Oryzias latipes: one gene and its partner. The protein of the gene in region 2 purifies or fractionates together with the protein of the main gene of each other region. This does not show direct contact. Links are inferred from orthologs where the notes say so. Each region holds a gene or a part of one and is shown on either strand. Other genes may lie near its edges.

What was found.
Region 1: the proteins of aspartyl/asparaginyl beta-hydroxylase (region 2) and lrrc59 purify together in Homo sapiens (co-immunoprecipitation; 3 studies listed by BioGRID and IntAct, with this or other methods). This does not show direct contact. The link is inferred for Oryzias latipes from reciprocal best matches to the Homo sapiens genes ASPH and LRRC59.

What each region holds. Positions count from the first base shown.
Region 1 is NC_019877.2:13,739,324-13,745,700, forward strand, and holds lrrc59 (leucine-rich repeat-containing protein 59), read left to right. Parts: upstream 1-2,787; 5' UTR 2,788-2,963; intron 2,964-3,088; 5' UTR 3,089-3,096; coding exon 3,097-3,198; intron 3,199-3,358; coding exon 3,359-3,418; intron 3,419-4,053; coding exon 4,054-4,212; intron 4,213-4,319; coding exon 4,320-4,424; intron 4,425-4,500; coding exon 4,501-4,573; intron 4,574-4,689; coding exon 4,690-4,881; intron 4,882-4,967; coding exon 4,968-5,245; 3' UTR 5,246-6,210; downstream 6,211-6,377. Other genes in the region: 5-hydroxytryptamine receptor 3A, read left to right, coding at 391-612.
Region 2 is NC_019878.2:3,439,717-3,444,816, reverse strand, and holds part of aspartyl/asparaginyl beta-hydroxylase, read left to right. Parts: coding exon 1-54; intron 55-821; coding exon 822-857; intron 858-929; coding exon 930-1,018; intron 1,019-1,096; coding exon 1,097-1,183; intron 1,184-1,254; coding exon 1,255-1,405; intron 1,406-2,883; coding exon 2,884-3,020; intron 3,021-3,097; coding exon 3,098-3,196; intron 3,197-3,269; coding exon 3,270-3,359; intron 3,360-4,318; coding exon 4,319-4,456; intron 4,457-4,528; coding exon 4,529-4,664; intron 4,665-5,100.

The sequences.
Region 1 (6,377 bases), on a different chromosome or scaffold from region 2:
TTGAAGCTATAGTTTTATGCTGGCCATTAGGTCATCTATGGCGTCATAGAACCTTGACTTTTTTCAGAAATGGCCAAAAGGATGCAACAAACAACTCTGACTGTTATTGGTGTTACCCCGTAGGGCCACTGTAGAAATGAGCACATCCCGCTACCAATCACAAGAATGAATCTCATGACAGCCATTTTTTCTGTGCAAGCCCACCGATGTCATTGCAGAGTCTCCACTCTGTCACTGTGTTAGTAATGGGGAGTTAATTAAACTTCCTAATTTTATAAATTGCAATGTTTAATTATTAGGTTCTTGTTTCTGGGTATAACCCTCACTTGCTGAAAAGACTAACAGGTTCTCACTTTGATAAGATTTCAACTAAATAAATATCTTCTGCAGGAAAACGCCAGTCAGCTGATGGAGATGTCCTTTGCAGTGGAGAAAGTCTCAGATGAGCTTGAGGACATGAAGAAAACCATAACTCTGCTAGGTAGCAAGAATGATTTGAAAGTAGGATACTGGACCAGATTATCAGTGAAGATTTCCAAAGGGTTTGGAACTTGTTATATTGTAGTAGCCTCTATATTTTTACTCGTCATCTTTTGTGAGTGGATGTCATAGGAATCAGCGCATGTTCCAAACAGAGCAGTTTGGTCTGGATGAGACTTCTTTTCCTTGTTCCTTGATTGGTGTGAAATTTTTTCTGATCTGATGGGTGGACCATGGAAGTATATTTTGAAAAACAATTAACTCATTTTTCTTGCAAGTGAACCTTAAAGCAGTCCAAAATCAGTGTAATTTGAAAATGTGAAAATCAAGAAAACTTTGACAACATCTGGGGTTATTGTTTAGGAGCACTATTTTCACCAAACCACAACTATATGATTTTCCCGAGACTCAAACTCTGCACTGAAAAGACTGCAAAAGGCAAAAAATGACAAGAAAATATGTAATACTTTTTACCACTCATCTCCCTTTTTATTTTGTTTTACTGGATATAAATATGACCTAAAAGTATCCAAAACCTATCACTTTTTTGATGATAAACTTATGAGAAGCAACATATATATTGGTCATGCTCTGCCGCCAGTGCCTAAACTGTCATAATATCATAATGAACTGAACAGACATGATTTGTTTTCCTAAACATCTACCATATTTTCCACATCATAGGGGCCACCAGATTGTATGGCGCACCGCGCATGCTTGTCTTGGTGCATTCTTTCTGACTTTGGTGAGTTTGAGTATGATTGGACAGAGTGACAAACGTACAGGTACAAGAGTTGACAAAAATACTATTTACCCGTACAATGAATTTGGTGGAAGTGAACCACTCAAAACATTTGCTACATTGACACTAACTTTTTTTAAACACGCTTCACATTAGCCACGTTAGAATCTTTAGCAGCATATTCATAATACCCGTTATTCCCAACCTTGTTTGTAACAGACTGATACCAATTAAACAAACATTACTGTGACTACGCTAACTCCCAACCTCATAACCTTGCTCAATCATTCAAACAGTAATTAGCATTGTAAATTACCATCTATTTTCCACTAATTTGTCATTTTTAAAGCATGTTTAGCAATATGTAACACATAGGTGTCAACATATTGTGAAATTTTTGTTAAAATACGTGTAATGACATTTTTGTAAGTGGAAAATGCTAGAAGAGGAGCACAATAAAGAGAGTCATTAGGGTTTTTGAGGTTCAAGTTTTCATGAATACATTTAGCTTGGGCATGTTGGTTGTGGCATGTGTTTTCCCTGTATTTGTATGGCTTTTCTCTTGTTCAGTGTTGTCAGCACAAATACTTGAACCAAATTTTTAGTTAGGGACTGTGCAAGCCAAAAATAAAGCAAGACGCTAAAGAAAAGTCATTTTACTTTGGGGGACTGTAGAGGAAAATAACTGTAACAGAACAATAAATGGCTACAAAAATAAAAAAAACTGTGTTATCATTGAGGAATTGTAGATTCCATAGAGTTTTTATTCTTTGTAATTGGTTTTCAAGAAGCTTTTGTAAGAAAATTGTCTGGATTATAAAATTAGTGGATTTAAAAAAGAATAACACATTTGTATATCAAAGGGAATTTTTGAAACCATTATATGTTTTGATTTCATTTGTAGTAGTAAATAGACATTGTTGCAAATGTACAATGTTACTGTGAATTTGGTGTGTGATACACCAGCATGTGTTGGATTACAACAACCTGCAACATCAGAATAACAACGTAAGGAAAGAAAGACAGACCAAAGGTACCTTTTACGAGGAGAAACGAACAGCGATAATCCTCAGCAACAATCGCTCTCCACTCTGGCGCATATTCTGTCACCTCCTCTTTTATTAAGTTTGTTGGGTATTCCCTAATTTACATATGCGCTGAGTTCTAAGGAGGGGAAACAGATAAAACACAGCTGCAGCGCTATCAGAAAACATTAATTGCAACATGTCTGTCTTTTCACAGTCTTCCCACGTCATCCGCAAACGGACCTGCAAAGTCTTTCCTCGGGGGCTCAAAAAATGATCAATCACAAAAATTAAATAGTTGGAATAGGAATAGGCAAAATTAAATGCACTATTTAGTGTCTTTCTTTAAAAAAATAGATGTGCATCAATTTTCATTAATTTTTTATGTATTTATTTATTATCCAAAAAATAAAACAAAAACTATAATTTTCACGTTGTGAGCACTATGGAAATGGAAAAACAGGAGCTTGTTATTTGGCCAAATAGTAATAGCAGTCATTCCTCCGCGCCTCGGAGGGGCGCTGTTCTCTGCGGTGTCCCTGCATTGTTGCTCAATCAGTGACGTGGACTTTCATTGAGAGGCAGTTTGTGCGGACACTAACAGCGTTTCTGAGATTCTTCTGTCAAGGTTTCCTCAGATATATCAGTCAGGCCTTCAGTGCTAACCTTTCGACAGACCTACGTAAAGAGCGGCTTTGTTAAACGTTCCGTATCAGGTGAGAGCCTCGTCGTCATGTGTGGATTTCGGTGTTTTGTGGAGTCTGACATAGTTTTCTAAAGTTTCCTCACGCTTTTGTTTGTTTATTGCGGTTATATTGCTCTGTTTTTTTTTTCCTGACAGGCTTCAGGATGAGCAAATCTAGCAAAGCGTTGAATCTGAAGGATAAACTGAGTGGAAATGAAATGGACTTGAGCCTGTGTAACCTCTCTGAGGTTCCGGTCAAAGAGCTTGTGAGTCAATTATGTTTATTAATAGTTAATTTAAAAAACACACACACAAGTAACACGTTTAATTAAAGTCAGGACTGGTTTGGTGTCTTTCTATAGTTCCTGCTATAAAACAATTGCAATAATAATAATAATATTCATTTAATTGTATGTATTTTTTAAGGCCCAGCTTCCTAAAGCAACAGTGATGGATTTGTCCTGCAATAACATCATCTGCCTTTCTGTAAGTATGAGTACAAAATCAGCAACATATGTCATTTATTGTGCTTTTATATATACATTTAACAGCATTATCTCTTGTTTTTGTTAAAGGATCAATATTGAACTTTTATTTAATCGGACTCCCTTTTTTGTATCAATTATATCGTGTGTCGCATGAATAAAGTAAATGTTTTGATCTCTAAACAGTTTTTAAAACTCTTTCTTTATGTTGCCATGAACTATTAGGTTCCCTTCTTTGGATAGGCACAGAAGTCGCCGTTTATTTTAATAAACTTTTTCTCTACCATTATTCCTGTTCCTCTGTCATCCATCTACTTGTAGTGTTAAATACCCACCCTGAGTAAAATTGTGTTCTTGGTATTTTTTAGCATGTTCTTGTGACATTTTCCTGATGATAAGGACGAGTATAAATAGAATTCAGCACAAATTGCCTAAGTATTTCTTTATTCAAATTGCTGTGAATCAGGAGCAGATGAAAAGAATCAGCGTGAATTTGTGATGTAGAATATAAGCTGGGTGGTCTTTAATTATAGGGAATGCATTGAAAATAGATCAAAATATGATTAGTGGGACTTTTAGCGGTGTTTGATAAATCAGAATTTTTACATTTTGGTTTGCTGTGTTTCTGTCCTGCAGCCAGAATTCTGCTCGTTGACCCACCTGGTGAAACTAGATCTAAGCAAAAACCAGCTAACCTGTCTGCCAGATGAGTTTGGGAACCTGGTCAACCTTCAGCACCTGGACCTGTTCAACAACAAGCTGATGACCCTGCCCGTCAGTTTTTCTCAGCTCAGGGTGGGTGGTGTGCAGCGTCTGCACTTTTGTCACCATTTGTGTCAGTCAGAAAGAGGCTGTTGTAACCAAGTCGGACTGAGCGTATTTTGGTTGGTTGGTTTGTTTAGAGTCTAAAGTGGTTGGATCTAAAGGATAACCCTCTGGAGCCCACTTTGGCAAAGGCAGCAGGAGACTGTCTGGATGAGAAGCAGTGCAAACTGTGTGCCTCCAAGGTGAGATAGAGGAACATCAGTCCAATGGTCTGCTCTGGAAGAAAAACCTCCAAACCTATTCATCGTGTTTTTTAAGGTTCTGCAGCACATGAGAGAAATTCAGGAGGAGGTGGACCACGCCAGAGAGAAGCGCCTTTTAAGAGAAAAAGGTGAGTTTCTAGAAATGTATCGTCTAAAGAAGGTTGTTTTGGGGTTTACCAAAAAAATGGAAAGTTTTGCCATTTACTGCATGTCTTGTAAAAATCTTATTTTTCTTTTTATTTAGAGCTGGAAAAGAAAAAAGAGGCAAAGCAGAGGGAACGGGAAGCCAGAGAGAGGGAGGCTCGCAAGCGGGAAAAAGCCGAGGAGAAAGAAAGGAGACGGCAGGAGTACCAGGCTCAGATGGCGGCTGTGGCGGCAAAGGAGCAACAGAAGAAGAAGAATGAGGAGAAAAAGAAAAGAAATGGACAGGCAGCAGGTGGGATTTAGGTTTTCAGTTTCTTGAATTGCTTTTCATTTATTTAAATTCTTTCTTTTTTAAATGGATGTCTTATTTTGTTTCAGCAGACAAAAAGGCGGCTGTGGAACCTGCGTCTAAACCACGGCGATCTCTTATCGGACTGATGTTCAAGCTTCTCCTCCTTCTGATGCTGGGTTTGGCCGGGGCTGTTGCCGCCTGCCGGCTGACCGACTTGCAGAAGGAACCGGCCTGCGTGCCAATCAATGTTGCCGTGGACGACGGCTTGGCCTGGGCCAAAGTGCAGGGAGGTGTCGTTCGACAGCTGGCGCAGAATCTGTCTTCTGCTGCAAAGGAGCTCCTAGAGTCCACATCCAAAAGCTAAATGCTCTCATGCCGGCTCGCTGTCAGAGGGGCAGGATTTTCATCCTATCCTGTGAACGACTGAAATTTTCCTCCGGAACATCAGGAAATCACCTGGAGAGCGTCTGTCGTTGGTACTGGCAAATTGTCTGCACAAATAGACGTTTGTTGAGGGGGAGATGTGTTGAAACCGTCCTAAATTCCTATGGAATTGTCATTCTTGTACCCTCTTTGTACTACAGTCTTTTTTTTCCTTATTTAATCATCTTTTATGTCTCCCGCTAAAGCTGCAGGAAACATAGCAGAGCCGTTCAGTGAAACCTCAAACAGCCCTGTTTGTGCTGCGCTAGACTCTTAAAGCCTGTTCACTGTCCGATGAGCATCTACAGAGGCTAGATGTGGCAGTCTGAGCATGTGCAGTGGAGCACCTATATATTCTCAGGAGTCAAACTTTAAGTCTCAACTAATGTAAAACGAGAGGCTCACCATTGTTCCAAAGATTGTCACAAGACTGATGACATAAGCCCAAACTTCCTAACACTGTTCCTCTCTCATGATCTTTTGAGTCAAATCTTAAAAAATACAACATTTTGTTAGATTAATGTTTTAACTGGTTAAATAATTCGTGAAAATTCAAGTGATTCAGGTTTAAACCCAAAGATTTGAGTTTAACAAAAATGAAAAAACTCAATTTGAAAAAGCTAAAATGAGCTTTTAGTTTGTGGATTAGTGAAAAACTAATCATATTTTCTTCATTATTCTGATAGGATATGTTTAAGAAATAAAGTAATGTTATAAAAACATGGTTTAAAAGCTGGTCAGATAACATGTACCTTAGTCTGCTTGTAAAGATCAAATTGCATTTTCCTGCTTTTGATTGTCACCAAGTTTTATTTATTTCTTAACTATCTTGAGGAGTGAGACTTAAATATGAAAATCTGCGTTTAAACTGCTTCACCAATAAAGAAGCTTCATGTCTGAAGTGAGTGACTGGGGTCTGCTTGATTTCCATAATAATGAATATAATAAATCAGGGGCAGTTTGGCTAAAACCTAAACCGTACTTTAAAGGTCAAGTTAATTTAAAAAAATTTGAACAACTAAAGCAAATCTTTTCTGTCAAGTTTTAAAAGACCTTACACCTTTTTTGCTTTT
Region 2 (5,100 bases):
GAAGTCCTCCTGCAGCCACGACAGAGGTGGAACCACAGCCGGTAGAGGCCGCCGGTGAGTCCATCTCAAAGGAATGAAAGACTTAAAGGATGAAGTGTGTTTGTGTGGTTTGTAATGACCTGGATTGAAGCCAGATTTCCAATCCCCGTAATAGTCCTATATGCTGTCATGGAACCCCATCCTTTCTAAAAGAGGTAGAAACAGACTGTGAGGCTGTCATACAGCTTAAGTTTTGACAGTTTCTTCAAATTTCTACTCTGGTTCATAAAAATCTTCTCAGATGACTCACTGATTTTATTGTGTAGTTTTTGTTTAGGTCTATTGACCCATTTCATAACACTTTGGTTTCAAAGGTGCTTCACTCAGGAAGTCAGCTGCTGCTGGTTTCTACATCTGATCTGTTTGTTTTTCCTCCAGTGTTTTTTTTTTCGTAATATTTGGAGCCATGCCCTTAACATACACTGTGCTAAGGTTAGAGGCAGCTGTGGATAAACAACAAATGCTTTCAAAAAAGTGTTTTTCATCAATCAAACAAATGCAGAGAACGAACAAAAGAGAAATGTAAATGAAATCGGTATTTGCTGTCGGTCTCCATCTGCCTTCAGAACTGCTTCAGTTCTTCCAGGTCCACTTGTTTCTGAGGGAACTCTGCAGCTGACCGATCCAAACATCTAAGCTCAGATCTCCTGTGAGCTCAACCAAATCAGAGCAGATGTTTCAAAACCTAACATTTGCACAAATGGAACCTTTTCTTTGAGAATGGGAATGTGATAAATCCTTTTGTCAGCCCTTTAAAGTCGGTCATGTTTCATGTGTGACAGGAAGGACAGAAGAGCCAGTGGAGGAGAAACTCCCAGGTAGAGAGTTAGGAACGTTGAAAAGCTGTTTCTGAGAGGTTTTCCTTGAAACTCTCCTTTGCTCTCCTGCAGTGAAGAAGAAGAAGAAGCCAAAGCTGCTGAACAAGTTTGATAAAACGATTAAAGCCGAAATCGATGCAGCAGAGAAGCTTCGTAAGAAGGTACCAGCCCGGTCAGCAGCGCTCTGAGCTCCGTGTTTTTGCAGGACATGATGTCTCTCCTCCTCCTCTTTGCCTCAGGGGAAGCTGGAGGAGGCGCTGCAGGCGTTTGAGAGGCTGGTGCAGCAGTTTCCTCAGAGCCCCCGCGCTCGCTACGGGAAAGCTCAGGTACTGTGACGGTGGGCTGCAGAGCCGGCAGCTGGTGCAGCGGAGCGCTCATGCCTGCCATGACCCCCCAGGCGGAGGACGACCTGGCAGAGAAGCAGCGCAGCAACGAGGTGCTGCAGAGAGCCATCAACACCTACAAAGAGGCGTCCGAGCTGCCAGACGCCACCGCCGACCTCATGAGAGCGGCGCTGAAGAGACGAGCCGCGCGCCAGCAGTTCCTTGGTATGGTCCGAACACGCGGTACCAAGCAGAACCGATCTGCTTCCCGTTTGATCCCAACTCAGCTGACGTACATGTGTGTGGGAGGAGCTTCCCCTCCTTCAGAGGTGACCCAGAGTTCCAAATCTGGATCTGCTCTTTTTTTCAAAGGAATCTGAATCAAAAAAGTGGAGAAACAGACCTCATGTCAGAACCTCTTCTGCACATTTAAACTCCCTGCTGGTCCAAACGGGAAACCACAAAGCTCTTTCAGGAGCTTCCTGTGGTCATGCTTTGTTTTTCCCCTTTATGCTTTTGAAATGTTAAAATGAATGAAAAAACATTTCCTAAACTCCTCAGAGGCTTCAGCGCTTTCACCTGGAAAGGTCCAACCTTTACTACATTAGCAGACTTTCAAAGTCAAATAAGTCCACTTTTAGGTTATTTCCAGGCATTTGGCCTTTTTGTTGTAAATTTTGCTCATAATATTTACATTTATTTTAATTTTTTATCTAAAAGACTTTTTAGATACAACATTTTGTTTAATCAATTTGTTTTGGACTTTTATTTGATTTAGTTTTTAGTTCTTAACTTGATCACTTTTGCTCTTCATTTCAGGGCTTCAGGTACAAACAACTGTACTTGGGTTTTCCGTGTAGCCCGTACAAAACCCAAGTACAACTGTACTTGGGTTTTGTTCCATTTCCACTTATTTAAAGTAACATAAACCCTTCATGTCTGTATTTATTTATTTCCAATTATAAAAATACATTTTCTTCAGTGTGTTTGAAGCTCTGGAATTTTGGTTCCTTGTAAATTAGCGACATCCGGCTTGAACAGGTTCCGTTTTTTTAAACCTTTGTGTTTTGTGCCGAAACACATTTCAGCATTTTGCTTTCATGCAAATGCATTTTTATTGAAATTAGGACCAATTACATTTTTTAAATATATTTTGGCACTATTTTCATGTATTACCTTTTCAAGTTTCAACGATTCTGGTTCTCCTCTCGTCGGCTGTGGTTCTGGATGTTCTGACATTAAAATCCTTAGCAGAAAAGTTCTGTAAAGGTTGCCTGGTATCTTCTCCATCGGCTCACTTTAAACGCTGTGTGCCTTAAACAGCTGCACAGGTGAGGACCGTACTCAGCCAGCTTCTGAAGTCATTTAGAGACTTGATTTAGAGAATTCTCGTTCAAACAGTGCAGCTGAACAGACAGAGCAGAAAACACGTTTGAACATTTACTGCTGTTCGTTGAGAAAGTCAAATACATGCAGATGGGGTTTGATTTCTGTCAGCTGTTCATGTACGATTCCGTCCCTTCAGCTTCTGCCAGAGGGTCGTTTCTGCTGCGAAGGGACACTTCCTGTGGTCCCGTGCTGCCTTCAGGGCCCTGAGCTTTGTGCAGTTCCTGTTTTACAGATGCTAGCTGGACTCTGGTCTGGAGCTTCACATCAAAACTTCCAACACTTTCTGGTTTGGTGATAACACCCCCTCCCCCCAGGTCGGACACGCGGGTCTCTGGTGACGCTGCAGACGTTGGTTCAGATCTTTCCCGACGACGTCAGCCTGAAGAACGATCTAGGCGTGGCCCACTTGTTGCTAGGCGACAACAAGGGCGCCAAGCAAGTCTATGAAGAGGTTTGTTTACAGACACAAACGTGCTGCTGTTTGTTTAAGTCCTGAGTCCTGATTGGCTGTTTATCCTCATTGCTCAGGTTCTGGGCGTCGCCCCTGACAACGGCTTTGCCAAAGTGCACTACGGTTTCATCTTGAAGGCAGAAAACCAGATTGCAGAGAGCATCCCTTTCCTGAGGGTTAGCACACACGTGCACGCGTCCAGGTGAGTGCGTGCACCTTCAGCTCTTGACCTCTCCTTTGTCTCTGCAGGAAGGCCTGGAGTCTGGCGAGCCGGGGACCGATGACGGGCGCTTTTACTTCCACCTGGGAGACGCCCTCCAGAGAGTTGGAGACGACAGTGTGAGTGATCCTTCCCCCCCCCCTGCTGACCACAGGAGGCAGATAATAGGAGATTACAGATTAAAGATGCCTTTATTGTCGTTGTACATGGTGATACAATGAAATTGTAGCAGCCTTGGAGTGGTGAAAATAAAATAAAATACAAAACTTTAAATCTTATCTCCAATCAAGATATGTACAATATGTACAGAAACAAGTAAATATTAAATACGTGTGAACAAAATAGAATGGCATGAGTTGAGTTGCAATGAGCGCAGCATAATATATATTGCGTTTTATTGCACACATGTAATTTAGTGTGTGAGAACAGTCAGAGTGGGTGTAGTTGGTGGGAGTATGCGTATAAAGTGATTGCCTGTGGAAAGAAGCTGTTCCTGAGACTGTTTGTCCTGGTTCTGATGGACCTGCACCTCCAGCAGATCAAACAGAGGGAAAGCAGGATGGGTGGAGTCAGTGATGATGCTCGATGATGCTGGTAGATGTCCTTCAGTGAGGGCAGCTGGTGATCCTCTGCGCTGTCTTTACCCCTCTCTGGAGACCCTTCACAAAAGATATACCGGTAGTAAAATATTAGTCTAAAGGAAGATCCGCAGAGTTTCTTTTTATACCACCATCTTGTTTCAGTTCAGTGAGTTCCTTGTGTCCTTTCTAACAGCTGATGCTAACCCAGTAGAAGCGTTCAATGAAGACTAAATAGAAATGGAGCATTTTCAATTGGGAGCCTGGCTCAGAGCAGCAGTGGTGATCTGCTGTGAGCAGGAAAAAAATCAAGGCTGGCACATGGCGTTGCCTGAATCCAAGATTTCTGTCAGAGCTTGTTAGCAGGTGTTTGTGTCGGCATCTTTCACACCTGATGATGTCAGCACAGGGGTTGAAAGTCACAGAGTTACGCCATTTCCATCGTCATAGACACCGTTGGATCTAATCCAAACCTGAACTGAGTGTGTATGTGTGACCAGGCTTATCAGTGGTATGAACTGGGTCACAAACGTGGTCACTTCGCCTCGGTGTGGCAGAGATCTCTGTACAACGTGAAGGGGCTAAAGGCACAGCCCTGGTGGACGCCCAAAGAGACGGGCTACACGGACCTGGTTAAGGTACGCCGCCTCACCTTTGCAGTTAGGTTCTTTAAGCCAGGGTTAGGGGTCCATGTATGCGGGTTTTTTCAGGTGCTGGAGAGGAACTGGAAGACGATCCGGGACGAGGCTCTGGCTGTGATGGATCAGGACAGGGGACGCTTCTTACCAGAGGATGAAAACCTGCGAGAAAAAGGAGAATGGGGCCAGTACACCCTGTGGCAACAAGGTAAACAGCCCCCAAAGGTCACAGAAAACCCAACTGTTGGTCCAGAGATAAAATAACCTCCAGTTAGAGCTTCATCTCCCCCAGAGGGAGGATTTTAGGGATCAAGGCAGTCGGCTCTCTTTTGCAGTTAGTCTCCAGTGGTCACTTGTGGAACTGCAGCATTTACTACTCCTGGATTGAGGTCAATCAGTTAATGTTCCAAAACTATAATTCTCTAAATCCACACTCGTATCTGGGAAAAATGCAAGTCTGGAACACAAGTGGTTAAAGCAGCGAAGGGGGGACCCCCCCCTTCGCTGCTTTAACTACTTCAGTTCCGGACTTGCATTTTTCCCAGATATGAAGGACACTCAGTGTCGTGAACAGTGAGGAGTGTCATCCAGGAGGAAATTTGACAACAGCTGCTGCTCCCCCCCACGGAGAAGAGGAAGTTCAG